7 linked regions of the Sus scrofa genome follow. The protein of the gene in region 1 interacts with the protein of each later gene in a pairwise test. Links are inferred from orthologs where the notes say so. Each region holds a gene or a part of one and is shown in the gene's direction. Other genes may lie near its edges.

The links.
Region 2: the proteins of HTT (region 1) and MORF4 family-associated protein 1 interact in binary tests that used the Homo sapiens proteins (3 or more experiments, as listed by UniProt). The link is inferred for Sus scrofa from reciprocal best matches to the Homo sapiens genes HTT and MRFAP1.
Region 3: the proteins of HTT (region 1) and RNF40 interact in binary tests that used the Homo sapiens proteins (3 or more experiments, as listed by UniProt). The link is inferred for Sus scrofa from reciprocal best matches to the Homo sapiens genes HTT and RNF40.
Region 4: the proteins of HTT (region 1) and PTK6 interact in binary tests that used the Homo sapiens proteins (3 or more experiments, as listed by UniProt). The link is inferred for Sus scrofa from reciprocal best matches to the Homo sapiens genes HTT and PTK6.
Region 5: the proteins of HTT (region 1) and MBD4 interact in binary tests that used the Homo sapiens proteins (3 or more experiments, as listed by UniProt). The link is inferred for Sus scrofa from reciprocal best matches to the Homo sapiens genes HTT and MBD4.
Region 6: the proteins of HTT (region 1) and PPL interact in binary tests that used the Homo sapiens proteins (3 or more experiments, as listed by UniProt). The link is inferred for Sus scrofa from reciprocal best matches to the Homo sapiens genes HTT and PPL.
Region 7: the proteins of HTT (region 1) and HAX1 interact in binary tests that used the Homo sapiens proteins (3 or more experiments, as listed by UniProt). The link is inferred for Sus scrofa from reciprocal best matches to the Homo sapiens genes HTT and HAX1.

What each region holds. Positions count from the first base shown.
Region 1 is NC_010450.4:1,924,768-1,928,267, forward strand, and holds part of HTT (huntingtin), read left to right. Parts: coding exon 1-17; intron 18-2,065; coding exon 2,066-2,256; intron 2,257-2,446; coding exon 2,447-2,561; intron 2,562-2,674; coding exon 2,675-2,888; intron 2,889-3,204; coding exon 3,205-3,310; intron 3,311-3,500.
Region 2 is NC_010450.4:4,120,284-4,124,558, reverse strand, and holds MORF4 family-associated protein 1, read left to right. Parts: upstream 1-1,479; 5' UTR 1,480-1,701; exon of another isoform or gene 1,702-1,819; 5' UTR 1,820-1,857; coding exon 1,858-2,241; 3' UTR 2,242-2,254; intron 2,255-2,763; 3' UTR 2,764-3,775; downstream 3,776-4,275.
Region 3 is NC_010445.4:17,633,191-17,637,288, reverse strand, and holds the start of RNF40 (E3 ubiquitin-protein ligase BRE1B), read left to right. Parts: upstream 1-1,298; 5' UTR 1,299-1,430; intron 1,431-1,539; 5' UTR 1,540-1,610; coding exon 1,611-1,742; intron 1,743-2,127; coding exon 2,128-2,295; intron 2,296-2,429; coding exon 2,430-2,571; intron 2,572-4,098. Other genes in the region: CCDC189 (coiled-coil domain-containing protein 189), read right to left, coding at 294-325, 628-843.
Region 4 is NC_010459.5:62,540,895-62,543,435, reverse strand, and holds part of PTK6 (protein-tyrosine kinase 6), read left to right. Parts: coding exon 1-97; intron 98-1,032; coding exon 1,033-1,214; intron 1,215-1,891; coding exon 1,892-2,045; intron 2,046-2,541. UniProt on the Homo sapiens protein: Non-receptor tyrosine-protein kinase implicated in the regulation of a variety of signaling pathways that control the differentiation and maintenance of normal epithelia, as well as tumor growth.
Region 5 is NC_010455.5:68,825,760-68,829,805, reverse strand, and holds the start of MBD4 (methyl-CpG-binding domain protein 4), read left to right. Parts: upstream 1-1,246; 5' UTR 1,247-1,456; coding exon 1,457-1,608; exon of another isoform or gene 1,609-1,826; coding exon of another isoform or gene 1,827-1,870; intron 1,871-3,279; coding exon 3,280-3,510; intron 3,511-4,046. UniProt on the Homo sapiens protein: Mismatch-specific DNA N-glycosylase involved in DNA repair. Has thymine glycosylase activity and is specific for G:T mismatches within methylated and unmethylated CpG sites. Can also remove uracil or 5-fluorouracil in G:U mismatches. Has no lyase activity.
Region 6 is NC_010445.4:37,508,933-37,512,379, forward strand, and holds the end of PPL (periplakin), read left to right. Parts: coding exon 1-2,146; 3' UTR 2,147-2,947; downstream 2,948-3,447. UniProt on the Homo sapiens protein: Component of the cornified envelope of keratinocytes. May link the cornified envelope to desmosomes and intermediate filaments. May act as a localization signal in PKB/AKT-mediated signaling.
Region 7 is NC_010446.5:95,468,173-95,472,105, reverse strand, and holds the start of HAX1 (HCLS1-associated protein X-1), read left to right. Parts: upstream 1-1,133; 5' UTR 1,134-1,926; coding exon 1,927-1,979; intron 1,980-2,488; coding exon 2,489-3,107; intron 3,108-3,574; coding exon 3,575-3,626; intron 3,627-3,754; coding exon 3,755-3,861; intron 3,862-3,933. Other genes in the region: UBAP2L (ubiquitin-associated protein 2-like), read left to right, coding at 1-86. UniProt on the Homo sapiens protein: Recruits the Arp2/3 complex to the cell cortex and regulates reorganization of the cortical actin cytoskeleton via its interaction with KCNC3 and the Arp2/3 complex. Slows down the rate of inactivation of KCNC3 channels. Promotes GNA13-mediated cell migration.

The sequences.
Region 1 (3,500 bases):
CCGCCGTCCTCGGCATGGTAAGCCGGAGGGTGCGGGCCTCTCGGGGCAGATGTGGGCAGTCGGCTGAGTGCGTGGCGCCAGTGCCTCCAGCTGGGCTCCTGGACCCCTGGTTCTGTCGTGTCCCTGTCCCCAAAGAGGCTGGGCTGCACGGGTGGTGGGGCATGTGGCCGACTCCTGCACAGTCAGCCCTTCCAGTTGTGCTGGGGGCCCCATGCTGCCCGGCTGGCAGATCCGCCCCTGTGGTGACCTTGTACCTGTGCCCCCCCCCCCAGATACTGAGGTCTGTTGTCTGTTCTGAGTGGGGCCGGGGTGGGGGGGGCGGCAGGCAGGCCTTCTTCTGAGCCCCTCCTCCTGAGTGTGCCTCTCTAGCTGATCAGAACTCATCCCTCTATGCCCGGCGGCCACGCAGCATCAACATGGAAAGTGCTGCCCGCCGGCCTGCCGTTTCTAGAGCAGGTTGGAAATAGCAGCTCTGCCTCTGGAGGAAAATAACTGGACTCCAAGTTGAGTGTCTTTCTGCGCTTTGCCACGTGGCATCAGCCGGTCGTTGTGCCTCTTCTCACTCACTTGTCCCCTGGGTTCCCTCTGCTAGAGTAGAGACTCGTCCACGGGACAGACCCAGGGTAGCTGCCGCGTGCCGGGCACTGGAACCACCGGTGAGGGGCGTCGCAGTGCCCCAGCCACTCTCTCGCCCCCGCCCCCCCTTCCTCCCCCAGCCCCACCCCTGTGCTGCTGGTCCTAAGAGCAGGGGCCTCTGGGGGGCTCCCCCCTGGCCTCACACACCCTCCTGTGCCCATGGAGGCCGAGGCCAGGGTGACCCGCTTGCTCCAGGTCACACAGGCTGTGGCAGACACGGGGTGTGAGCCGTGCCTGCGACCAGAGCTCGCCCCTCCGAGCCAGGGCCCAGAGCGGGTACCGTCCTGGGTGGCCTTCAGGCACAGAAACACGAGTCTCGGCTTTCTCTGCTCTTCCAAGGGCGGGCGCTCTGGCTGTGGGGAGGGAGGGAGAAACAGCCAGGCTCCAAGGGTCCCTTCGTCTCTGCAGGAGTCAGGCCTGGGCTCGTTTCCATGGTGATTGTCCTGTGCCCTGGCCCTGTCCCCAGCCCCGGGGGCAGATGCCGACTCGTCAGTGACTCCAGTGAGTGAGGTCTCTTAGGCAGAGGCTCAGGCGGGGTGACGTGGAGACCCCGGTCCCGCCGTGAACGCGGGGCCATTGCCCCGAGGATGCAGCCTGTGGCCCTGGCGGTTCAGAGCTTCTCCCAGTGTGTGAGAGCTGTGCCCTCCCTGGTGGCATTTGGAGGCCTTGGGTATGGGCAGCAGAGGAGGAGTCCTGCTGTGTCACCTGGGGGAGCTCAGGCTAGGATCCCTGGGAGGCCATAGGGCCACAGTCTCGGAGGCTTTTACAGGATGAGGCGAGGCCCTCAGCCAGCAGGGGTCCCCACCTGCGCACCGTGAAGGGGTTTCCTCCCTGGCATGGAGCCGATCCCACACGCAGCGCTTGGGGCTGGGTGCTCAGGTTTCGGCTTCCCTCCAGCTGTTTAGGAACTGAATGAAACAGTGTTTGGCACAAGTTAGTGTAGACCACAGTTGGGGCCACCGCAGGTGTCCAGCAGGAGGACACGCAGGGCTGGACACACACACTCGTCCTCAGGGCTGTGATCCACGGCAGCGAGAGGCTGCAAAGCGGAACCAGCGAAGGGACGGGGCCGAGGGGTGAGGTCCAGGGAAACCAGCTTCCAGAACCCTGTCCCGGGAGTGACACGGGCTGCGCCCAGTCCCCCAGCAACACCTTGTGGCAACATGCATGGCGTGCTGTCCCCGAGAAGCCCTTCAGAGACTCGGAGCCAGGGCTTATTGGGGGTGGCCCCGGGGACCCCTCTGCCGGGCACACAGCCCCCGGGGCCAGGTGTCAGCATGGACACACTCGTCACAACAGCTGAGGCGTCGGTGAGGGTGCTGGGGACCCTGACGGAGGACAGCAGCTGGGCCCGCCATGGGGCCCCATCTTGCACAGCGGCCCCTGCCCTCCCCTGGCCACTCCCGTGGCATCACTGCCTGTGCCCTAGGACAAGGCCGTGGCAGAGCCGGTGAGCCGGCTGCTGGAGAGCACGCTCAGGAGCAGCCACCTGCCCAGCAGGATCGGAGCCCTGCACGGCGCCCTCTACGTGCTGGAGTGCGACCTCCTGGACGACACGGCCAAGCAGCTCATCCCGGCCATCAGCGACTATCTCCTCTCCAACCTCCGAGGCGTGGCCCAGTGAGTGGGGGCCACCTGAGGCCGTCTAGCAGGGCCGCGAAAGGAGCGACCGCGCGCAGGCGGGGTAGCAGGAAGCCAGCTGGCACCCTCCTCCCAGGGACGGTGGCTGTGGTCACTGAGACGGCGGACAGCACGTGCCGTCGGGCGGGAGGGGCTGCCGCGTGGCTGAGCTCGCCCTGTCTCCTTCCAGCTGTGTGAACGTGCACAGCCAGCAGCACGTGCTGGTGATGTGCGCCACGGCCTTCTACCTGATCGAGAACTACCCTCTGGACGTCGGGCCCGAGTTCTCTGCGTCCGTCATACAGGTGGGCGGGCCTGGGCCTCCTCCACGCGCAGCGGCTCCGAGCCCTGAGCGCGGGGCGGGGCCTCTGAGGCGGGAGGCCTGCGGTGCCTCTGACCTGGAAGTGCTCCTGTGCAGATGTGTGGCGTGATGCTGTCCGGCAGCGAGGAGTCCACCCCGTCCATCGTCTACCACTGCGTCCTGAGGGGCCTGGAGCGCCTCCTGCTCTCCGAGCAGCTCTCCCGGCTGGACGCGGAGTCCCTGGTCAAGCTGAGCGTGGACAGAGTGAACGCGCACAGCCCGCACCGCGCCATGGCGGCCCTGGGCCTGATGCTCACCTGCATGTACACGGGTGAGCGGGGGCCCACTGGCGCCCGGCAGGCCAGCGCTGCACATCCCAGACGCTCGGGAGGCAGCCCGCAGGCTCCTGTGGTTCTCCAGGTCGCAGAGCTGGGCGGGCGTCAGCGCCTCACGGGGAGCGGGCTGCAGGCTGACCAGTGGGCCCTGTGTGACTGGGCCAGGCCCTGGGCTGCTTGCTGGGGGCCCCCATCACCTGGTTTCAGACCATCTCTGGGGGTTCAGGAGACCGTGCGTGAGTTCCAGGCCCTGTTGACGGAGCCTCTCTGGTTTGGCTGTCAGTAGAACCGAACGGCTTGGTTTTGTTTCAGGAAAGGAGAAGATCAGCCCAGGCAGAAGCTCCGACCCCAGCCCTGCCGCCCCCGACAGCGAGTCTGTGATTGTGGCCATGGAGCGTGTGTCTGTTCTCTTCGACAGGTAGGAAAGCGCCTGGCCTGGCTGGGAGCTCCGGCCAGGAGCCACTGCACACACACACGCCCGCTGCGCTCAGGCCCGCCTGCTTCCTCCTGCGCCGCGCTGCCCTGGGGGTCTGCGCTGGGGGCGGGCCTAGCTTCTTGCCACCTGGGTCGGAGTTGACTGGCTCCAAGGCCGTGCCAAGCGCTTGCCT
Region 2 (4,275 bases), about 2.2 Mb from region 1:
CTCTGCCCTCGCTCAGTGGGTTAAGGATCTAGCATTGCCGTGAGCTGCGGTATAGGTCACAGACACGGCTCAGACCCTGCCTTGCTGTGGCTGTGGTGTAGGCCGGCAGCTATAGCTCGGATTGGACCCCTAGCCTGAGAACTTCCATATGCCTTGGGTTTGGCCCAAAAAAGCAAAAAACAACCAAAAAAACAGTAATTGGATATAGTTCCCTGTGCTATACGATAGGATCTCATTGCTTATCCATTTTAAATGTAATCATTTGCATCTAACCCCAAATCCCCGTCCATCCCACTCCACCCCCCCCCACCGCAACCACAAGTCTGTTTTCCATGTCAGTGAGTCTGTTTCTTTTTTTAAAATTTTTTGTCTTTTTAGGGCCGCACCTGCGGCATACGGAAGTTCCCAGGCTAGGGGTCTAATCAGAGCTGCAACTGCCTGTCCTACACCATAGCCACAACGCCAGATCCAAGCTGCACCTGGAACCTACTCCACAGCCCAGGGCAACGCCAATCCTCAAACCACTAAGCAAGGCCAGGATGCTAGCTGGGCTCATTACCGCTGGGCCACAACAGGAACTTCCCTGTTTCTGTTCTGAAGATAGGCTCATTTGTGCCATATTTTGGATTCCACATATAAGTTACACGATATTTATCTTCCTCTTTCAGACTTACTTCACTTAGCATGAGAATCTCTAGCTGCATCTGATGGTTGTTTCTCTTCATTCTTCACTCGATTATATTCAGAACTGGGAGGTGTGTCCCCCACCTGACTGGAAAACAGAAGCCGTATCACTTGTGCAAGCTGGATTCCTGATTTTTTTTTTTTGCTATTTTGTGACTAGGTCAACAGGCCAAGAAATCATCATACGTTTCCTTAAAATTGTCTGTGCAATGAATGTTAAAGCAATATACTACCCTGTGCCAAGTTCTGCTCTAAACCTCTGAGACAGAGTAAGACCCTCAAGGAGCCTTCAGTCCGGTAAAAGTCGTGAAGACGAGTCCAGTGGGAACGCAGAATAATTCAGACCCGGCCTTTCCCACCCGGGGGTCTCGGTTTCGAGAAAGACACCCCGACACTTCTGACTGCAATAACGAAGAGCAGCCTCTGAGATGTCGGGGAGGGTCCGGCTGCGGTACTAAACGGGGTGGGGCCCTCTGCGTGAGACCGCGACTCCCATCATTACGCAGGACCTTCTCGTTCAGCGCGGGAAGATGGCTCTCAGATCTCTGAAAGCTGTAAACTCCACGCTGGAGAAAAACTTTAAAAGAGCGAGCACCGCAGCGCCCCAACTCCCAAGCCAGGGGCCGCTGGGAGCAGCGCCAGACTGAAGGGGGAGGGGAGAGAGGAGAGAGCGTGTGTGCGCGCGCGCGCGTGCGCGCGGGGGCGGGTGGGAGCAGACGGGCGCGAGACGGAGACGACGGGCCCGGAGGGAGAAGGGAGGGCGTGCGTGCGCGTGCGTGGGGCAGCAGAGGGGCGGAGCGCGGGCCTCAAGGGGAGAGGATGTATCAGGAAGAGCGTGCGTGCGCGCGCGGCCGCGTAGCGCGGATCGCGTCGCCCACCACTGACGTGCGCGCCCCCGCACCTAGTTCTACCCGCGGCCTGACCGTAAAGAGGGGCGGCCGTGTCGTGAAAGGGGCCGCAACACGCAGGGCGCTGGTTGACGGCTAGGACTCCATTTTGTCCTCCGCTTCTCAGCTCGTAAGTCGCTTGATTCCGTGGCTGCTCTGAGGCGAAAAGTTTAAACGGGGTAAAAGTTTGAGAGAATATTCTGGAAGTGTGTCGGTAAGCATAGCGAGTCTCCATTTTCTTTCTGCAGCCGACTCGGCTCCTGCGGTTCCGGAACAGCGGGAGGAGATGCGGCCCCTGGACATCGTCGAGCTGGCGGAGCCGGAGGAGGTGGAGGTGCTGGAGCCCGAGGAGGATTTCGAGCAGTTCCTGCTCCCGGTCATCAACGAGATGCGGGAGGACATCGCGGCGCTGACCCGCGAGCACGGGCGGGCGTACCTGCGCAACCGGAGCAAGCTGTGGGAGATGGACAATATGCTCATCCAGATCAAGACGCAGGTGGAGGCCTCGGAGGAGAGCGCGCTCAACCATCTTCAGAGCGCGGACGACGCGGTCGAGGGCAGGGGGACCAAGAGGTGCGAGAAGGCCGAGGAGAAGGCCAAGGAGATCGCGAAGATGGCAGAGATGCTGGTGGAGCTGGTCCGGCGGATAGAGAAGAGCGAGTCGTCCTGAAGCCGGGTCGGCGGTAAGGCGGGGGCCCGGGGCTGCCCCCCTCTTGGCTCGGCCTCGGGGCCGTGGATGGAACAGCGAGCCCCTCGGGGTGGGAGTTGGGAGGAGAGAGTGAAACATGCTGCGTGTTTACCTTAGGAGGTCTTAGGACAGACCGTTTGTGTGCTTTTTCAGTCTCAGGAAGCTAGAGGGAAAAAGTGGGCGGGTGGGTTGATTCGGTTTCGTCTGTGTGTGTTCGCAACGTAAGGTCACGGTCAGTAGGATCAACTCGAGGGGCATAAGCAAAAGTCCCAGAGAACGAGATCGTGGTAGGGCCCATTGAGCTGGGGTGGAGAGAAATAAATGTACGATTGCTGGAGGGAAGGCTGTTTCTGGACGGTTCCAGAATTCGCTGGAAGCCTGAAAAGAGTCAGATGGCATCCCGGAGAGGTGGTGCCCTGCGGGGCTGCAGGTGTGAGGGCGTTGGGTTGGGTTTTCTTGAAGGATTAACCTGTTAATGCTGAGTTTCTCCCGATTGCACTTCAGGTTTACAGCCAATGGATTCTGGTCCACTGATGGAGATTGGCTGACACCCTGGAGAAGCTGAAACCAGAGAGCCTTTTGTTTTCTCTTTTTTTCTCTGTCTACACTCTTGTCCTCGCTTACACTACGTTTCTGCTATGGTCTGTGGTTAATGACCTCAATATGAGTTTTTGATTGTTAAGTGTTTTTGTTTGGGGAGGTAACTTTTATTTGGAAAACGTTCTCACGAGCAAGAATTAGGGCCTAGATTGTAAGCTCTTGCAGCAGTCACGTTTGTTCCTGGGCTTTTGTTGTTTCTAAATTTTTGAGGTGCTTTGCTCTTTCTTGTGTGACCTGATAGCTTCCTGGAACTTTGGGTCTGTGTGTGACGGATGAGACTCAGAGCTGGAGTTCTCCAGCTCTGAAGGTGCTGAAGGAACTGCATGATATCTGGAAGACGACTCCATGCAGCAGTTTTAAAGAAGCTGAAGAGGGGACCAGACTTCTACTGGGAATGTGAATGGGGCTGATCTGGCTAGGACTGATGAATCAGAAGGGGTGGAGGATGGTATTGTTTGGGGACTTTAATTTCTGTGTGAGACCAAAGGAGGAGAGATGTATTTTGTTCAAAATGTAAGTTTTATGCGGCACACTGTGTGATGTAACCTGTCTGGTCAGTTTGTTTGGACAACCTTACTCAGCTTTACTCGACGTGGAACTGAGAATAGAACATGAGATAGGTCTTGGTGTTCTGTATAATTGATAGAATACCCTGATGCATTTTAAGGCATTCTGGGCATAAAATAAAAGCGATATTTGCAAAAGCCCTTGAAGGTCTGGGGAAGAAAAGCAAGGGCTGTCTGTTTTGGACCCTAAACTGGATAGGGACTAAGTACTTTCAACATCCATAAGTTGTCTAGCTATAAGTTCATTTCAGCAGCAGACCTGACAAGTATTTGAGGTCAAAACCCTACCATGTGTTTAAAAAGAAATTTACCATGTTAATAAAAGTATTCATTTGCTTGAAAAGACAAAAGACCTGAGAAATCATTGAGTTAAGAAATTTCGTTTCTTTAAGAAAAATTTCCTTCGTAGCGGTCATCTTTGCCAAATGGGGGGTGGATTTATTGGGGTTTTTAAGCCCCAAATTACGGAGGAGGTAATCATATCTCTGCGTGCTGCTATGGAGACTGGCGGAGGAAAAAGCATGGGGTTGGCCCTTGGTATTGAGGGGGTTGGTTCCAAAACCCTTCACCCCCTCCCCACAGATAACCAAGATCCAGGGATGCTCACATTCCTTAGGAAAAATTGTCGTACAGTCGGCTCTCCATGGCCATAGATTTTGCATCCTACAGAGCCTGCCTGCACTCTGATTTTCATCTCAGGATCTGCTTCCTGGGGCATCCAGCTGATAGCAAGCGTGAAACTGGAAAACCATGTGTCACAAGCTAGATACCGTATCTTAGAGGACTGAGGAGGAGAAAGAAAGCATTTCAGAGCAAGTAAGGTGAACCTGGCCTTGAGGGATGGACACAG
Region 3 (4,098 bases), on another chromosome or scaffold:
TTATGCATTAGTCTTAGGACAAGGCTATGATGGCTAGAGCGTAGGACTGGGAAGCAAGAGACCTGAGTTAAGAGGTTTGGCTCTTCCACTAACTCGCTGTGTAACTTTATAACAAAGTCACTGAGGCAGCGGGAGACCTGGCTTATAGTCATCTTGGGTAATTGTATCTCTGGGCCTCAGTCTCCTTGTCTGTAAAATGGGAATTCCGTCCTGTTTGACAGGCTCGTAAGGAAGCGCTAAAGGAATAATACAAGTGTGAAGGGTAACTTTCCCTCAAAGCTCTTCACACTCACCATATGCAGATCCGGGGCTGGGGTAGCGGCGGCTGCGGGAGAGAAAGCGGATTGGGAAAGGCAGAGCTGCGTTGTTAGTCCTGGCCCGTGGTTCTTTGCCCTTGGTGAATCTCTGGTGGTCTAACAACGCGATACCTTGCCTTCTCATCTTAAAAACTGTGTACTAGCAATACCGGCGGGCTGGGCTTCGGCGATCCCTAAGTACTATTCATGAGCGTATTGACAAGCAGTTCAAGCCTGCCTCTTCACCAAGGCAGCCCGGGAAACAAACGGCCCCCTGCCTGGGAGCCCTTTTATAAACATTCATGAGCAGACCACTCTGACCTGTCCTCACCGGGAACAAGTTGGCTGCAGGATCTTCATTCGCATCCACTGAGGCCACGGTCCCTGACTCGGTCCGCACTCCTGTTCCCATCCTCTTGGCCGATTCATCCAACGAGCTGAGGTCCTTCTCATGGTCTTTCTCATGTTCTCGCCGCAGTTCGGAGTGCTGGTCCAGCTCCGACCGCCTTTTCAGTCGCCGGAATTGGCTGGATTTCCGGCGGATCATCTGGTCGCTCCTCTGTGTCGCGGGTCCCCACCGTCTTTATCCTGCCTCGGTTCTGGGACAGCCGATCTCGGGCGGCGACTGCCAAGGCCTGGCCCTTATCGACGCTTCAGCCAATCTACGCTGCAGAGAGGCCGGGTACAGCCAATCGGCTGGGGGCGTCCCTCCGTCTCAACGGTGACGGTTGCTAAGGAGGATCCAGTAGGAAGGGAGAAAGTGTACCGTGCTCGCCAAACTGTGAGAAGAGAATGCGCATGCATAATAAGATGCAAACCCCGCCCCGGTGCCCTCTCTTCGAAGTTGTTAATCTGAGGCAGGCGGCGTTATTAGGACTGCGGAGTGGAAGTGTGTTGTCAGTTACCATGGCAACTGCCTACCGGCCAATCACTGAGAGAAAGAGGAGGTGTTCAGAAAGAAACCAAACGGACGCAAGAGGAGGAACAAAGCACAACCAATAGAAACAGGAACTGGAGAAGATTTCGCCACATCCGGCGCTGCCTCTGGCGCCTGCGCTCTGTGCTGGGGGGCGGGGGTGCCCAGTGACGTCCGGTGAAGTCCAAGATGGCGGCGCTAGGCTGATCCTGCTGCTGGTGAGGGGCCCGGGGCCGGCGGGGCGGGGTCCGGCAGCTGTGTGCGGGGGTAGGCTCGTGGCTGCGGACCTCCGTCCCCTTCCCCAGCTCTACTCTCTGTCTTCTGCAGGTGACGGAAGTGCCGAGTCCGCCTGCCTGACGTCCTCGAGAGACCGGGGGCCGCTCCTCGCCGCCGCGGCCATGTCTGGGCCCGGCAACAAACGCGCCGCCGGCGATGGGGGCTCGGGGCCCCCAGAGAAGAAGCTGAACCGCGAGGAGAAGACAACAACAACGCTTATAGAGCCCATTCGTCTTGGGGGCATCTCTTCCACGGTTCGTGGGCTCCTGCCCCAGCCCGCCCAACTTCCCAGAACCGTTTTCCCAGTTCCCCAAGTTTAACCAGATCCACTTTACAGAGCATTCTGTTGAAGGAAACCTAGGACATGACGTCTGCCTTCCCCTCGCAGATAGGCAAACAGGTTCCCAGAGAGCGTGTGACAGACATGTCAGACTTCAGGTAGAAAGAGGCAGGAGCAGAACGTGACGCTCCTTACAAACAAGACGCTTCCTCCGTGGGTGTCTGAGCTTTGTATGTCCTGTTAGCAGTCTGCTCCCCTCTCACATCCGTTCTATCTGCTTTCCTTTGTCTCTTTCTCTGATTGGTTTCTTGGGCCCTTCTTGACCCTCTCTCTCCTCGGCCCCTCTGTTTCCTTGGTAGGAGGAGATGGACCTGAAGGTTCTGCAGTTCAAGAACAAGAAACTAGCAGAGCGATTGGAACAGAGACAGGCTTGTGAAGATGAACTCCGAGAACGAATTGAGAAACTGGAGAAGAGGCAGGCTACAGATGATGCCACACTCCTCATTGTCAATCGCTACTGGGCCCAGGTGAATGCCCCTCTCCTTTACAAGACTGGGCTTTGATCCAGCTGCCAGTTCTCAGACTTCTCTGTTAGAAAGGGAGTATCATGCTAGGAAGCACCTGAGGGATTCCTAACATTTTTGGTGCTTTCTCCTTTCAGCTGGATGAAACTGTGGAAGCCCTTCTCCGACACCATGAGAGCCAGGGGGAGCTGTCTTCAGGGCCAGAGGCGCCTGGGACCCAGGAAGGGCCAACGCGTGATGAGACCCCTCTCACAGAGCCAGGAACATCGGAGCTGAGGGGTAGGGCCAGAACCCTAGGATCTAGGAAGCTTAATTAAGTTCTGGGAAAGGTCCTGGAGAGGAAAGGATCTTGATAATCAGGCTGCTGAATTCCCTGCCTATACAAACACACACACACACAATTGATTTTATATTTGGGCAGCAAATCACAGTGGATAAGAACAGAGACTTTGGAATCTGAATGACTTGGTTAAGAGTACAATTCAGGTTTTATTTATTTATTTTTTTTGTCTTTTTGTCTTTTTGTTGTTGTTGTTGCTATTTCTTGGGCCACTCCCGCGGCATATGGAGGTTCCCAGGCTAGGGGTTGAATCGGAGCTGTAGCCACCGGCCTACGCCAGAGCCACAGCAACGCGGGATCCGAGCCGCATCTGCAACCTCCACCACAGCTCACGGCAACGCCGGATCGTTAACCCACTGAGCAAGGGCAGGGACCGAACCCGCAACCTCATGGTTCCTAGTCGGATTCGTTAACCACTGCGCCACGACGGGAACTCCCAATTCAGGTTTTAAAAGTATTACATGTATTTGTATTATGACTGTGTACTTGGCACTGGTGTAGATTTGGAGGAGACAAAGATAGTTAAAAAAAAAAAAATTACTGGGAGTTCCCTGGTGGCTCAGTGGGTTAAGGATTGGCACTGTCACTGTGTGGATGAGTTCGAATCCTGGCCTGGGAACTTTTGCATGCCGTGGGTGTGGCTGGGAAAAAAAAAAAAAGGAAAAGAAACACTGTCTTAGCTATTAGGGTGAAAGTGACTGTAAACCACACACACACATAAAAGCAGAAGGGCTCCTGAATGGGAATTGGTATGTGTGCACTAATTTATTTATTTATTTATTTATTTTTGTCTTTTGTCTTTTTTGTTGTTGTTGTTATTGTTGCTATTTCTTGGGCCGCTCCCACGGCATATGGAGGTTCCCAGGCTAGGGGTTGAATCGGAGCTGTAGCCACCAGCCTATGCCAGAGCCACAGCAACGCGGGATCCGAGCCGTGTCTGCAACCTACACCACAGCTCACGGCAATGCCGGATCATTAACCCACTGAGCAAGGGCAGGGACCGAACCCGCAACCTCATGGTTCCTAGTCGGATTCGTTAACCACTGTGCCACGACGGGAACTCCTTTTTTTGTGTGTGTGTATGTGTGCACTAATTTAGTTTGGGAAGGCAGAGAAGGCATTTCTGAGGAAATGTTTGGAAGCTCTCCGTCCTTGAGGAAATTACCTCCTGGAACCTCAGTCGTTGCCTTTTTTTTTTTTTTTTTTTTTTATTTTTTTATTTTTAGGGCCACACCCACGGCACATGGAGGTTTCCAGGCTAGGGGTCCAATTGGAGCTATAGCAACGCCAGATCCACGCGGCATCTGCGACCTACACCACAGCTCACGGCAATGCCGGATCCTTAGCCCACTGAGCGAGGCCAGGTATCAAACCCTCAACCTTATGGTTCCTATATGGTTCCTAGTTGGATTCATTTCCGCTGCGCCATGATGGGAACTCCAGTTGTTGCCTTTTTAAGATGGGAT
Region 4 (2,541 bases), on another chromosome or scaffold:
CACATCCTGCCACTGTACGCCGTGGCGTCCCTGGGGGACCCCGTGTACATCATCACAGAACTCATGCCCAAGGGGAACCTGCTGGAGCTGCTGCAGGGTGAGTGGCCACGGTGCGCCCGGTTTCAGAGATGCCAAAATGGCAAGTGTCTGTGCTCAAGGCTAAGTGGCCTCCGGTACGCATGTGTGTGCCTGGGCGTGTGTTTTAACACGTCCATGTCTGGAGTGCTTTCCACGTGATCGCTGCAAGCTGCTGCCACACCATCAAATACTCCCTAGAAACAAAATTCTGACACCGCCAAGTGCACTCAAGCACTTGTTGTTGGAACTTTTTTTTTTTTGCCTTTTCAAGGCCACACCCACAGCATATGGAGGTTCCCAGGCCAGGGGTTGACTCGAAGCTGTAGCTGCTGGCCTACACCACAGCCACAGCAACGTGGGATCCGAACTGCGTCTGTGAGGCCAGGGATCGAACCTGCAACCTCATGGGTACGAGTCAGGTTCGTCTTCTCTGCGCCATGACGGGAACGCCTGTTGCTGGAACTTTTTGATGTTTTTGGTCCTGTAGACGGTGCTGAGATGGCCATCTTTGAGTTCCTTTGCTTTAGTGTGGCTTCCCAGAAGGAAATTCCAGAGGGCGCGTTTGGACGGTTTAGCTCTGATACCTGACTACCTTCCCGAAGGGCCGCACCTGCAGCACATGGCAGTTCCCAGGCTAGGGGTTGAATCGGAGCTGTAGCTGCCCGCCTACACCACGGCCACAGCAACTCAGGATTCGAGCTGTGTCTGTGGCCTACACCACAGCTCCCGGCAACACTGGATCCTTAACCCACTGAGCGAGGCCAGGGATCGAACCTGCATCCTCATGGATGCTAGTCAGATTCATTTCTGCTGAGCCACAACCGGAACTCCCACAGTCCCAACTTTAAACCGGGCTCGCTGCCCTTTGCCCCCGCCCCTCCCGAGGGCAGGCGTCTGCACCGAGGACTCGGCCCTGGCTGGCCCCGTCACCCTGGCCTCCCATTGCCTCTGCAGACTCTGATGAGCAGGCCCTGCCGGTCTCGGAGCTGGTGGACATCGCGGCCCAGGTGGCTGAGGGCATGTGCTACCTGGAATCCCAGAATTACATCCACCGGGACCTGGCTGCCAGGAACATCCTCGTGGGGGAGAACACCATCTGCAAAGTGGGGGACTTCGGGCTGGCCAGGCTCGTCAAGGTGGGGCAGGCGCGGGGCGGGGGCAGGGGGGGTGCAGGGAGCTGGCGGGGCAACAGGAAGCTGAGGCAACCACGACTCTGTCGGGCGAGATGCCCAGGCGAGACACGGGTCTGTGGCACCCGGGATGAGCCAGACGGGGCCGGTGGAAGCACTTGGACGCGTCCAGGAACAGCAGGAGGAAAGCGCGGCCCCGTGGGGCCAGCTCACGCCGGAGGCTGGGGAGAAGGGAAGAGCTGCTGAGGGGCGGGCGGCAGAGAGGGCAGGACCAGCCTTCCTCGCCCCGGCCACCAGCCTGCCGGCAGGTGCCCAGCAGCACCTCCAGGACTCCCAGGAACACGCTGAGAAACTCCCTCAGGTCCTGCGCCCAGAGCCGAGGTTCTGTCCTTGCACTTTGCTCCTCAAGCAGACCCCGTGTCCCCCCGCGTGGCTGCTGGACCACTGCTTCCTCCCTGGGGGTCTCCCCCCGCAAACAACTTTTGGAGAAACTCTGTCCTTCGTCCTGGCAGGCTCTCTGCTGGGTTCTCTGCAGTCCGCCCCCCGCCGGCGGGGGGATGGCCTGTGGGCACCTGGGCGGGCCCGCCCCAGCTCAGGCTCCAGGCGTGGCAGCACGGAAGCCGTGTCTGCGTGTCTGCGCCCGGCTCCTCGAGCTTGTCCTCGCTGCACGTGTCTCACTGCAGGACGACATCTACCTCTCCCACGACCACCGCATCCCCTACAAGTGGACGGCGCCCGAGGCGCTCTCCCGCGGGCACTACTCCATCAAGTCGGACGTCTGGTCCTTCGGGGTCCTCCTGCACGAGGTGTTCAGCAGGGGCGAGATGCCCTACCCAGGTACTGGGCGCCCCGTGCTGCCGACCACAGGCAGGGCAGGAGGGGCCATCACCTTGCAGGGCCCCCCACTGCTCGCCCAGTGCCAGAATGCCCTCCAGAGTGTCCAAAGGGAGGCTTTAGAAGGGAGCGGCAGGTTGTAAATCAACTATAAATGAAACAATACACTTGTTTGTTTGTTTATGGCCACACCCGCAGCATACGGAGGTTCCTAGGCTAGGGATCGCACTGGAGCTGCAGCCTTCGGCCTACACCACAGCCACAGCCACACCGGATCCTTCACCCAATGAGTGAGGCCCGGGATCGAACCTGCAACTGCATGGATAGGAGTCAGGCTCGTTAACTGCTGAGCTATGACGGGAACTCTGAAAAAAAATCTTGGGGAAAAAAAAAAAAAAGGAGTTCCCATTGTGGCGCAGCGGAAACGAATCCCACCAGGAACCATGAGGTTTTGGGTTCAGTCCCTGGCCTCACTCAGTGGGTAAAGCATCTGGCGTGG
Region 5 (4,046 bases), on another chromosome or scaffold:
ATTTCCATGTAAGGAGATGAAGGAAGATGTGCTTTCCTCACACAGAAAGGCCCAAGAAAAGAGAGGGAAGGCCACTAGCCAAACGGAGGCTTCGCAATGAAGTTGAAAAGATCATGGAGGAAGACTGTGAAAGTCAGGCTGAGGAAAACTACCCAATAAGTCAGTATTCCCTGCAAAAGGAATCCTTACATGATAGATTTAGGTGATAAAAGTGGAATAGGACATTAAACAACAGTGAATCATAAAGTGAGAAAGTCATTCTCTTTCAAGTCTCTTTCAAGCCTTCTAATAAAATACATGAGAAAGTCATGATTTGATGCTTTTCATCTCAAGCACCTCACGGACAACACCTGCTCAATCTCCAAATGAAGGTTTAAAGACTCCCTAGCAACGGTATCTAGCTATACCGTGTTAACACCGTTTCGTTTCTCCCAGCTTTAAGTTACAGTTAACTTACATTTATAGCAAATGAAAACTGGTTTTCATATATGGCGTAATAAAGTTTCCTTGTAAAATTATATTTAAACGAAAATAAATGAGGAAATTTAGAAGAAAAGTCAAGCAAAAAAGAGTAGAGGTAATGTGTGGATATGGCAAAAGTGGTGAAGTTAGAGAAATACTGTCATGGGTCTAAGACGAGCCCAGGATGGATTCTGAGTAAGAAAAAGACAAGACCAGGTTATGACTATGTGTAAAACCACTTCGACAGACCACTACCTCACGCGCAGAACTGCCCTTGCTCCCTCTCCAGGCCTCAGTGTCCATCCGAAAAGGGGCTGGGGGGCGACCTCTCAGACGCTGATTCTCGGGGCTCACTATCCTCTGCCTGAGCCACAGGCCCGTTGCCCGTGGCAACCACCGGGGTTCACGCAATGGCGCCCGCTATCCCGCTGGGGCTTGGCCTCCCGCTCCTCCCGGACTGCCCCACTCCTAACCTCTGTTCCACTTTATCTCTCCACGTCAATACGGCCCTCATAGCGGCTCGCTTCACACCTCCGGCCCCACCTCCCCACCTCGGCAACAGGCCTCAAGCCGCGAGCCACTTCGGCTACCTGCGCTACCCCTGGCAACGCACATGCGCAGTGAGCTACGCGCGAAGCCGAGCGTTCCGAGTGCGCATGTCTGAAAGAGAGGGCTTGAACAATGGAACCCGAGCCTTGAAGATGTCTGCACGACTAGGGCGCGCGCGATTGGTCACCCCTAAGGTGAGGGGGCGGTGCGTCTTTCTCGACAAAGGATTGGATTGGGTGAGCCGTGGAAATGGCGCCTGTGGACCAGGGGGCGGCCGCAAAGCAGCTGAGGCGTATGAAAGACATTCACTACCTTCATCTTTTGGTTCCAGCCTATCGCTCAGAGCTGGAGAAGTTTTCACATCTTACTCCGCTCCTCACTCAGAGCGACGCAGCCTCTCGGCCCGTTGCTACAGCTGGATCTCGCTTAGGGGGGCACGGCTAGGATGGAGAGTCCGAGCCCCGGGGACTGCGGAGCTGCACCTTTGATCACCGCCACTGAGCGCCTAGACTCAGACCGGCCCTGTGACCTCCGGCAAGTCATTGTCCCCTTTCGGGCCGCAGTTTCACCACCTGAAAAATGGGAGAGAGGGAGTAGGTGGGTGGGCCTTTCTCTCCTGGGGTCGGCGGAGACGTGGAGGCCCAGAGTTATTTCCAGCGAGCCGGGGCTGGGGATCAGGTGCTCTTCTGGAGGGGTCGGCTCCCGACCTCGTCCCCAGAAATGACATGGGAGCTGGGTGGAGCAGGAAGGTTTCCTAGTGCTGGGAGACGACTGCTTGGGTTGGAGGATCCTAGGAAGACTTTGGAGGAGATGTCATGTTAAGGAGCCAGGGGCGCCCCAGAAACCGGTCCAATGAGAGGTAAGGGAAAAAAACCACAGACACTTACTAAGTATTTGTGTATATGCGGTGTGGGGCTAAGATAATTTACCTACCCCCCCCAAAAAAAAACCTTTAATCCTCAGAATTACCTTAAAGGAAGTATTAGGTCTTTTTTTTTTTTTTAACAAATGGAGGAACAGACTTTGAGATGTTAAGTCACTTGATCTTGAATGCAGCTAGTAAATGGCAGAGCTGGGATTTGAACCTAGTCTGTTGATTTTAAAGTTTGTGCTGTTTTCACCAATATTCAGTTTCTTATCTCCAAAATTGTGAACCGTATGATTTCTTAAGATCCACTCACCCAGCTCCCCTAAATTATTTAATCCCACATCACATCAGAAGACCTTAATTCTAATTCTAGTTAGTAACTAGCTCTTACTTAATTTCCCTATTTGTAGAAAAGAGGTTGGTTAGACATCTCTGTAGACCCAGCCAACTTTTAGCATATGTGATTTAGTGATTAGGATACACTAACTAAAGTTTTTCAATGCTAGTACAAGGGAAGAAGTATTAGACCAAGATTTAGTAGACCTAGGTTCTGGAATCATTTCTGCAAGTAACTTAATCTTCCCTTCACTCACTTTTATCAGTAAAATGAGAGTAGTCCTTATTATTCCTACTTCACAGGGCTATTGGCTCAAGAATGAAAGAGAATTTGAAAATTCTGTATTAGAAATTGGTTACATATATATGCACATATATATACAAATTTTACATCACTTATTTGTGGCAGAGGAGGGTGTCTCACTGACTCCTTTAAGCTGTTCAGTTGATCCCTAGGTTAAGAGCTTAGCTATTGGTTCATATTTTTATTTTTTTGGTCTTTTTGCTATTTCTTTTGGGCCGCTCCCGCGGCATATGGAGGTTCCCAGGCTAGGGGTTGAATCAGAGCTGTAGCCGCCAGCCTACGCCAGAGCCACAGCAACGCAGGATCCAAGCCGCGTCTGCAACCTACACCACAGCTCACGGCAACGCCGGATGGTTAACCCACTGAGCAAGGGCAGGGACCGAACCCGCAACCTCATGGTTCCTAGTCGGATTCGTTAACCACTGCGCCACGACGGGAACTCCCTGGTTCATATTTTTAAACTTATGTCAGGTGTCACCAGAAATAACAGCGCTATTCAAGATTAACCAAAAAACTTTCTAACAAACAGCTCATGTTTTTCATTGTGTTGAGATTTCCAAGCCTTTTTAATCCATGTTGGAGACAAGAAGGTATTGGAGGGCAGAAAAATATTCTCGTAGCAGGACTGGTCCATACTGATTTTAATCTCTCATAGTCCAGAGAGTCCATGTGGTTGCTTCTCTGTCATGGACTGAAATTGAATAAGCAGAATCAAATGCATTTTACCTGAGCTAATCACTTGTACTTTGTTTTCTTTCAGGGAGGAAGATGTTGCTCTGGGATCAGAAAGAGTGGGAGAAGATGAGAAACAAATAGTGATAAAAAGCAGCAGTGAGTGTACTCCTCTGCTAGAGGAACCCTTGGCTTCTGCTGAGTTTGATGGCACTGCAGTGACAGAGTGCCACAAGTCTGTCCCATGCGGATGGGAAAGGCTTGTGAAGCAAAGGTTATCTGGGAAAACAGCAGGAAGATATGATGTCTATTTTATCAGGTGAGCATGCAAGGTGGTGAAGATGTATAGCCAAATAATTTTGTCTAGAAAGGTGGCAGGAAAGCATAGCAGAGTCTTGGCGTTTTTCTGTTTTTACCATAAAACCATGATGGATTTTGTTCCTTCACTGTCACTCATTAGTTATATCAAGTGACTTGGGGACAATTACATCCATTTTCTCCTACTGTACATGGTTAATGGTGAGGTTGCACTTGTTATATTTGTAAAAATGGTGAGGTTGTACTTAGGTTATATTTGTAAAATTATGTTATACTATCACAGAATAAACCATTTAAAAGTATCATTTTATCACTTTTTTATTTGAAATGACAAATGCCCATTTAAAATTTGGAAATTACTGGAGTTCCCATCGTGGCACAGTGGAAATGAATCCAATTAGGAACCATGAGGTTGCAGGTTTGATCCTTGACCTCACTCAGTAGGTTAAGGATCTGGCACTGCTGTGAGCTGCGGTAGTAGGACGCAGATGAGGCTTGGATCCTGCGTTGCTGTGGTGTGGCATAGGCTGACAGCTG
Region 6 (3,447 bases), on another chromosome or scaffold:
GGAGGAGAAAAACCGGGCGCGCGAGAAAGTCACCGAGAAGGAGGTGGTGAAACTGCAGAACGACCCCCAGCTGGAGGCAGAGTTCCGGCAGCTTCAGGAGGACCAGCGGCGGGAGCGCCAGCTCAGGGAGAAGCAGGAGGAGGAGCTGAGCTTCCTGCAGGACAAGCTGAAGAGGCTGGAGAAGGAGCGGGCCATGGCCGAGGGCAGGATCACCGTCAAGGAGGTGCTCAAGGTGGAAAAGGATGTGGCGACCGAGAGGGAGGTGGGCGACCTCCAACGCCAGGTCGAGGATGAGGCTGCCAAGGCTCGCACCAACCAGAGGGAGAAGACGGAGCTGCTCCGGAAGATCTGGGCCCTGGAGGAGGAAAACGCCAAAGTGGTCGTGCAGGAGAAAGTGCGAGAGATCGTCCGGCCGGACCCCAAGGTGGAGAGTGAGGTGGCCAACCTCCGCCTGGAGCTGGTGGAGCAGGAGCGCAAGTACCGGGGGGCTGAGGAGCAGCTGAAGAGCTACCAGAGCGAGCTGGAGGCGCTCCGGAGCCGGGGCCCCCAGGTGGAAGTCAAGGAAGTCACGAAGGAGGTCATCAAGTACAAGACGGATCCTGAGATGGAGAAGGAGCTGCAGAGGCTCCGGGAGGAGATCGTCGACAAGACCAGGCTCATCGAAAGGTGTGACCTGGAGATCTACCAGCTGAAGCAGGAGATCCAGGCCCTGAAAGAGGCCAAACCCCAGGTGCAGACCAAGGAGGTGGTCCAGGAGATCCTGCAGTTCCAGGAGGACCCCCAAACCAAAGAGGAAGTGGAGTCTCTGAGGGCCAGGCTGGCAGAAGAACAGAAGAAGCAAGTGGATCTGGAGAGGGAGAGGGCGTCCCAGGAGGAGAAAATCCAGCAGAAGGAGGAGGAGCTCTCCCGGGTGAAGGAGAAGGTGGTGCAGCAGGAGGTCGTCAGGTACGAGGAGGAGCCAGGGCTGCGGGCCGAGGTGAGCGCCTTCACCGAGAGCATCGACGCGGAGCTGCGGCAGATCGATGGCCTCCGCGGGGAGCTGCGGCGGCTGCAGCGCAGGCGGGCCGAGCTGGAGCGCCAGCTGGAGGAGCTGGAGCGCGAGAGGCAGGCACGCAGGGAGGCCGAGCTGGAGGTGCAGCGCCTGAAGCAGCGGCTGGCCCAGCTGGAGGAGGAGGAGGGGGAGGCCCGGGAGAAGGTGACCCTCAAGCAAAAGGTGGTGCTGCAGCAGGACCCCCAGCAGGCCCGGGAGCACGCCCTGCTCACACTGCAGCTGGAGGAGGAGCGACACCGGCGGCAGGTCCTGGAGAGCGAGCTGGAGACGCTGAGGAGGAAGCTGGAGCACCTGGAGAAGCTGGAGGTCCGGGAGAAGGTGGTCTTCTCTGAGAGCGTCCAGGTGGACAGAGGCAACACCGAGCAGGAGATTCAGAAGCTCAAGAGCAGCCTGGAGGAGGAGAGCCGGAGCAAGAGGGAGCTGGACGCTGAGGTGAGCCGGCTGGAGGCCAAGCTCTCGGAGCTGGAGTTCTGCAACTCCAAGTCGTCCAAGGAGCTGGACTTCCTGAGGGAGGAGAACCACAGACTGCAGCTGGAGCGGCAGAACCTGCAGCTCGAGGCCCGCAGGCTCCAGGCGGAGATTGAGATGGCTGCGGCGGAGACGCGGGACCTGAGGAGTGTGCCGGTGGCAGACCCTGGCGCTCCGCTCGACTCCAGGCTGTGGTCCCTGGAGCGGGAGCTGGACGAGCTCAAGAGGCTCTCCAGAGACAAGGACCTGGAGATCGACGAGCTGCAGAGGCGCCTGGGCTCCGTGGCCGTCAAGCGGGAGCAGAGGGAGAACCACCTGCGGCGCTCCATCGTGGTCATCGACCCCGACTCCGGCCGCGAGCTGTCTCCAGAGGAAGCCCACCGGGCCGGCCTCATCGACTGGAACATGTTCGTGAAACTCAGGAGCCAGGAGTGCGACTGGGAGGAAATCTCCGTCAAGGGTCCCAACGGGGAGTCCTCCGTGATCCACGACAGGAAGTCAGGCAAGAAGTTCTCCATCGAAGAGGCCCTGCAGAGCGGAAGGCTGACCCCTGCCCAGTACGACCGCTACGTCAACAAGGATATGTCCATCCAGGAGCTGGCCGTCCTGGTGTCCGGGCAGAAGTAGGCTCGGCCCTGCCCTCCCCTTCCTGGAAGCTGACGCTGGCTCTCTCCCACCCAGGAAGCTCCCCGGTGTCTTCTGCCTGGCCACGTGCAGAGCCCCGTGAGAGGGTCCAGCGCAGCCGCCAGGCTGCTCAGAGCACTCCTCACCCACAGCGGGATGGGCACCGGCCGAACCTCCATCCAGCCTGGTGAGTGACCCGCTTCGTCCCTGACTCAAACCCACAGCGCCTGCTTCTTTCTCCCTTTCCCACTCACTCCCGTCAACAGACTCCTCGTGTGATACCTAGAAGCCACCGAAAACCAGCAAAACACTCGACGACCGGGGCAGACAAGCCTGCTCCGTGCAGCACCGGCCTGCACACCCCAGCTGGGGCCTCCCTTCAGCAAAGCACCAGGCCCCCAGGGCTGCGATCTGCACGCACACCCCTTGCGGATTCTGGCTCAGCTGACTTGCCATCAGAGGCCTCCCTGTGAGACAGCAAAGGCACAAAGAAGCCAGAACAGCCTCTGGCCCAGGTGCTCAAGCAACGCTTAACTGTCAAGCCAGACTGTCCCAAGAAAATGCATCAGAGAACGTCTCATGGTTCTGAAATGAAAGTACTTTCCTCGTGGACTGTGTTGCTGGTAGCCTTAGATTCAGTGCTTAACGCCTGCTCCTTATCTCACTGCCATATAGTAAGACTCCGCAGTTGATTTTTCACCAAACTAATTTCAGGTTCTCTGTATCTCATGTATTAAGAAAATGGGAATTACTAGGGAACTCTGTTCAAAGCATGAAAATAAACACATGGTGGCTTGATTCTAACTTCATGGTGTGTTTCTTCCTCTTTTTGCATCTAAGGCTTATTCCCCAACCCCCTCTTGGCTTTCAACTGAAATGAATGTTCCCTACATATCAGCTGCTACGGAAGAAAGAATTATTTGCAAACACGATTAACAGAAGTGAATGAAAAAAGAGTTCCTGTTGTGGCTAGTGGTAACAAACACTACTAGTATCCATAAGGTTGTGCGTTTGATCCCTGGCCTTGCTCAGTGGGTTAAGGATCCAGCATCGCCGTGAGCGCCAGTGTGCAGGTCGCAGAAGTGCCTTTGATCCCATGTTGCTGTGGCATAGGCTGGCAGCTGCAGCTCCAACTGGACCCCTAGCCTGGGAACTTCCATTTACAGCAGGGTAGGCCCTAAAAAAGAAACAAAAAAAGAAAAAAAAAAGAAAAAAGTGAATGAGAAAGGATGTTTTGGAAATCTTGAAACAATTTATTGAGTTGCTTTATACAAGATTAACAATTTCCACACCCCACCCCCCAA
Region 7 (3,933 bases), on another chromosome or scaffold:
GGCAACGTAGCCAGACCAGCTCCATCCCGCAGAAGCCCCAGACCAACAAGTCTGCCTACAACAGCTACAGCTGGGGGGCCAACTGAGGCCCTGACCCTCTTCTCCCGGTCCCATCTTCTGAGAGGGCTTCTCAGCCTGGCAACTATGGAAACAGCATCAAAGAGAGAAAGGAATGTGGGGGGGTTCCGCTGCCCCCCACACCCAGCGGCCCACCCCATGCCTCAGCTTCATGTCTGTCCCATTCCCATACCATCCCCACTCTGTTGTATGTATTATAGGATTTGTATTTTCTTCTTTTTTTTTTTTTTCCTTTCCTCTCCTCCTCCCCTCTTGCATTCAAGATTATGAAACTTTGCTGTGGGCCCTGCCCTTCCTTCTCCTCCTCCTGTTCACCCTGGTGGTGTGGGTGAGGTGGGGAGGGGGGACCCCCAAATATATATCAGCCCAACAGCCCTAAGTCTCCTCCTTTATTATTAGGAAACAAAACAACAACAACAAAAAATGGTGTCATGAACATGAACAGCATTGTCAGATGAATTAGTTGAAGTGTTTTTTTTTTTTTTTTTTTTTGTACTGTGTCTTCAAATTTAATGGATTAATGTGTCTTGTATATATAAAAAGAAAACCTCTACCTTCAGCCTCTGCCCATTCTTGCTCCGTCTAGGATATCCTCAGTCTCGTCGATGACCAGCTTGGTGAATAAGTATTACTGTACCAACTGGGCCTTCTCTAGCAGGCCCCGAAGGCAGTGGAATAAAATGAAATCTTCGCCCTTTAAGAACTCCGACCTTAATGTGCTAGTATCTTGCCCCTGAGGGGGTTCCCTTCCGTTCTCCCCTAAGAATTTCACGGCGTGGCCTGGAAAGAATCACTGCAAATCTTCATTTTCTCCAGATCTACAGCAGATTTTAGGCGGTGAAGGGAGTGGAATGGATAGCAGATACTGGGTGGAACGGAAGAGGATTAAATGAAAACTGAAAGAAATGGCTTTGCAGAATCAGTTTAATTAAGATGGGTCCAGGCAAATGAACTGGAAAGAAATGAGGGCAACATGCACTGTTGTTGGCCAGCAAATCTGAAGCAGTAGTTCTTGACGCTTGAGTGCTTTCATTTCACATAACTAATACCCAGCCCCTGAAAAGAAGTCTAGAGTCAGGCCAGGGTTAGGATGGGGGTGGGGTACAGGGAGGCAGAGGCTTTGAAAGTCAAATGATAGGAAAAAGATACTAAAAGCCCCCAATTTTTCCCTCCCAAGAGTTCCCTTGCTCTCTTATGAAGTCTTTAACCTGCTGGTTGCAGAGCTTGCCTGGAAGAATTAGAGGAATTCTTAACAGCTGGAGAGAGAAGTCCTTGCGTTCCCTGAGTCTTTTTCTTTTACTCAACTCTGGGGAAGTCACTACATTAGAAGGAGCTTGATGCAACGTTTTGTCCATCCCTCTGGTATCAGACTTAATTGGCTCAGTCAGGAAACAAAACCGAGGCGGGTCCAGGAGGAGTCCATGGGTGTAGTGAGCCGGCGGTGAGGGAGGGCCTTGGTCCAGTTCATTTGTGCGGATGGGCTGCCCTCTGGCGGCTGCCTCCGGTGCCATCCGGCGGCGTGAAACCCTTGAGACACCCTGTCGGACCGACCGCATTGGTCGGCAGAAGGAATTGGCTTAGGAGTCAGGTGACTGTTGGAAAACGAAAATTAAGTACACCCACTCCCTTCACAGGGAACAGGTGGGGTAAAAGAAAAAACCTTTCGAATTCGATAGGCCTGCCCCGCCCTCAACCACGCCCCGCTTACGGTCGTTTTACGACAGTGTCCGACCGATCGCAGGCTTGCTTTCAGGCAGCGTGGTCTGACGCTTCGCTCAATTTCCGACGGCGTAGCTTTGGTTTCTCCCCCCGGCTTTGGGGTTCGAAGGTTCGAGTCCCACGACGGGAATGAGCCTCTTTGATCTCTTTCGGGGATTTTTCGGCTTTTCTAGACCTCGGAGGTGAGAATGGGTCCGGGTCAGATAAGGGAGGGGGATCCGCTGAGGGAAGCTTGACCCCTGACACACTGTTTTTGGAAAAACATCCTTTTCCCCACTCATGCAACTCCTGCGGAGAGGGCAGAAGTCACAACATTGAGCACACACCCCGCGGCAGTAACCAAGGCAGTCGTTAAGAGGAGAAACAGGCGCTTAAACGTTTCTCCGTTCTGGGGTGATGCAGCAGGGGCCCAAGTGTGGGGAAGACAATGCAGCTCTGGGGAAGGGGTCAGTGAGCGAGCGGGACCTTGGGAGAGAGGGGAGGGGTTGGGGAACGCTGAAGAAAAGCTGAGGGGAAATGTTTGGGGGAGCCGCGAGGCGAGGACTGGCTTTGATAAAAACAAAACAGACACGATGGCCAGTTCTCTAACGCTCGCTTCAGCTTTCCAGTTTCCTACTCTTGTCCACCATTAGCTGGTTTTATAGATTAAGTAGTGCCGAAATCTTGGTGGCCAATCTGCATCCATCCCCAGCCACAGAGATCCCTTTTTTGGAGGGATGACTCGCGACGAAGATGAAGATGATGAAGAGGAAGAAGCCACATGGAGCCAGGGGAGCTCGAGGTTTGAAGGTCCCCAGCCTCCCGAGGAATTTGGCTTTGGCTTCAGCTTCAGCCCAGGAGGAGGAATGCGTTTCCACGATAATTTTGGCTTCGATGACTTAGTACGGGATTTCAATAGTATCTTCAGCGAGATGGGGGCCTGGACCTTGCCTTCCCGTCCTCCTGGTGTGTGGATGTCCCTGGGGGAGAACCTGTGGTTTCTGATGGGTCGATGGGTGAAAAAAAGGAGCCTACAGAGAGTAGTTGGGGGGTGGGAAGAGAGAAAATGGATGATTTCAAGATTTAAAAGAGCCCAAGATCTTTCCCTCCCACCTCCAGCATCCACCTGCCACCTTTCTGCAGAACTTCCAGGTCCTGAGATAGAGACACCTGGTGAGAGACGGCAGGAAGGACAGACACTTCGGGACTCAATGCTTAAGTATCCAGATAGTCACCAGCCCAGGATCTTTGGTGGGGGCCTGGAGAGTGATGCAAAAACTGAATCCCCCAAACCAGTACCAGACTGGGATTCCCAGAGACCTTTTCATAGGGTGAGTACATCTGGGCCTGCAGTGAGAGCCTGTGGAACAAAACTGCAAAGACTGGAATCCTTATTGGAATCTGACAGATTTGGGTTGGAATCCTAGACTCTCCACATAAGAGTATTTATCTGTTTTCTATATTAAGCTTTTTGTAGGATTTTCTTGGGGGGGGGTGAGAGGAATGGAAGTTCTTTTTGTTTAAAAATATATATATTGGTTGAAATGATTCTTGGACAAGGCAGAATTATAGAGGTAGGCTAAAGTATCAGTACAGGGATGGTTTTTGGTAAAGAGTTACATAGAACAGCTAGGAAGGAGGGAGGGGCGAGTAAATTAAACTATTCTGATTGGGATTATTTCTCCTGAGCACAATAGTTTTGGAACTTGGCAAAACTTTGGGTTCTGTTACCCCCCCCCCCCCCGCCCCGCAAGTTTCAGATTTATGGTGCCATTTGACCTACTTTGGCTTCTTCTAGTTTGATGATATGTGGCCTGTGACCCCCAGTTCTAGAGCCAGAGAGGATAATGGTGAGTCTGGAGGGAGAGGACATTTACCAGCCCTTTGTTCCCCCTCCCTGAAATTTCTTCCTGCCACACTTGTCCTCTTTCCCTTGGACTCTTTTTATTTTTTCCTGTTTCCTCTCTTGTCCTTCTAGATCTTGATTCCCAGGTTTCCCAGGAGGGCCTTGGCCCAGTTCTGCAACCCCAGCCCAAATCCTATTTCAAGAGCATCTCTGTGACCAAGATCACTAAGCCAGATGGGGTGAGTTGGGAGAGAGGAGTAAAGGGAACTGTGGTCAAGAATATTCTGGAAATGGGGATCTATGTAAAGAAA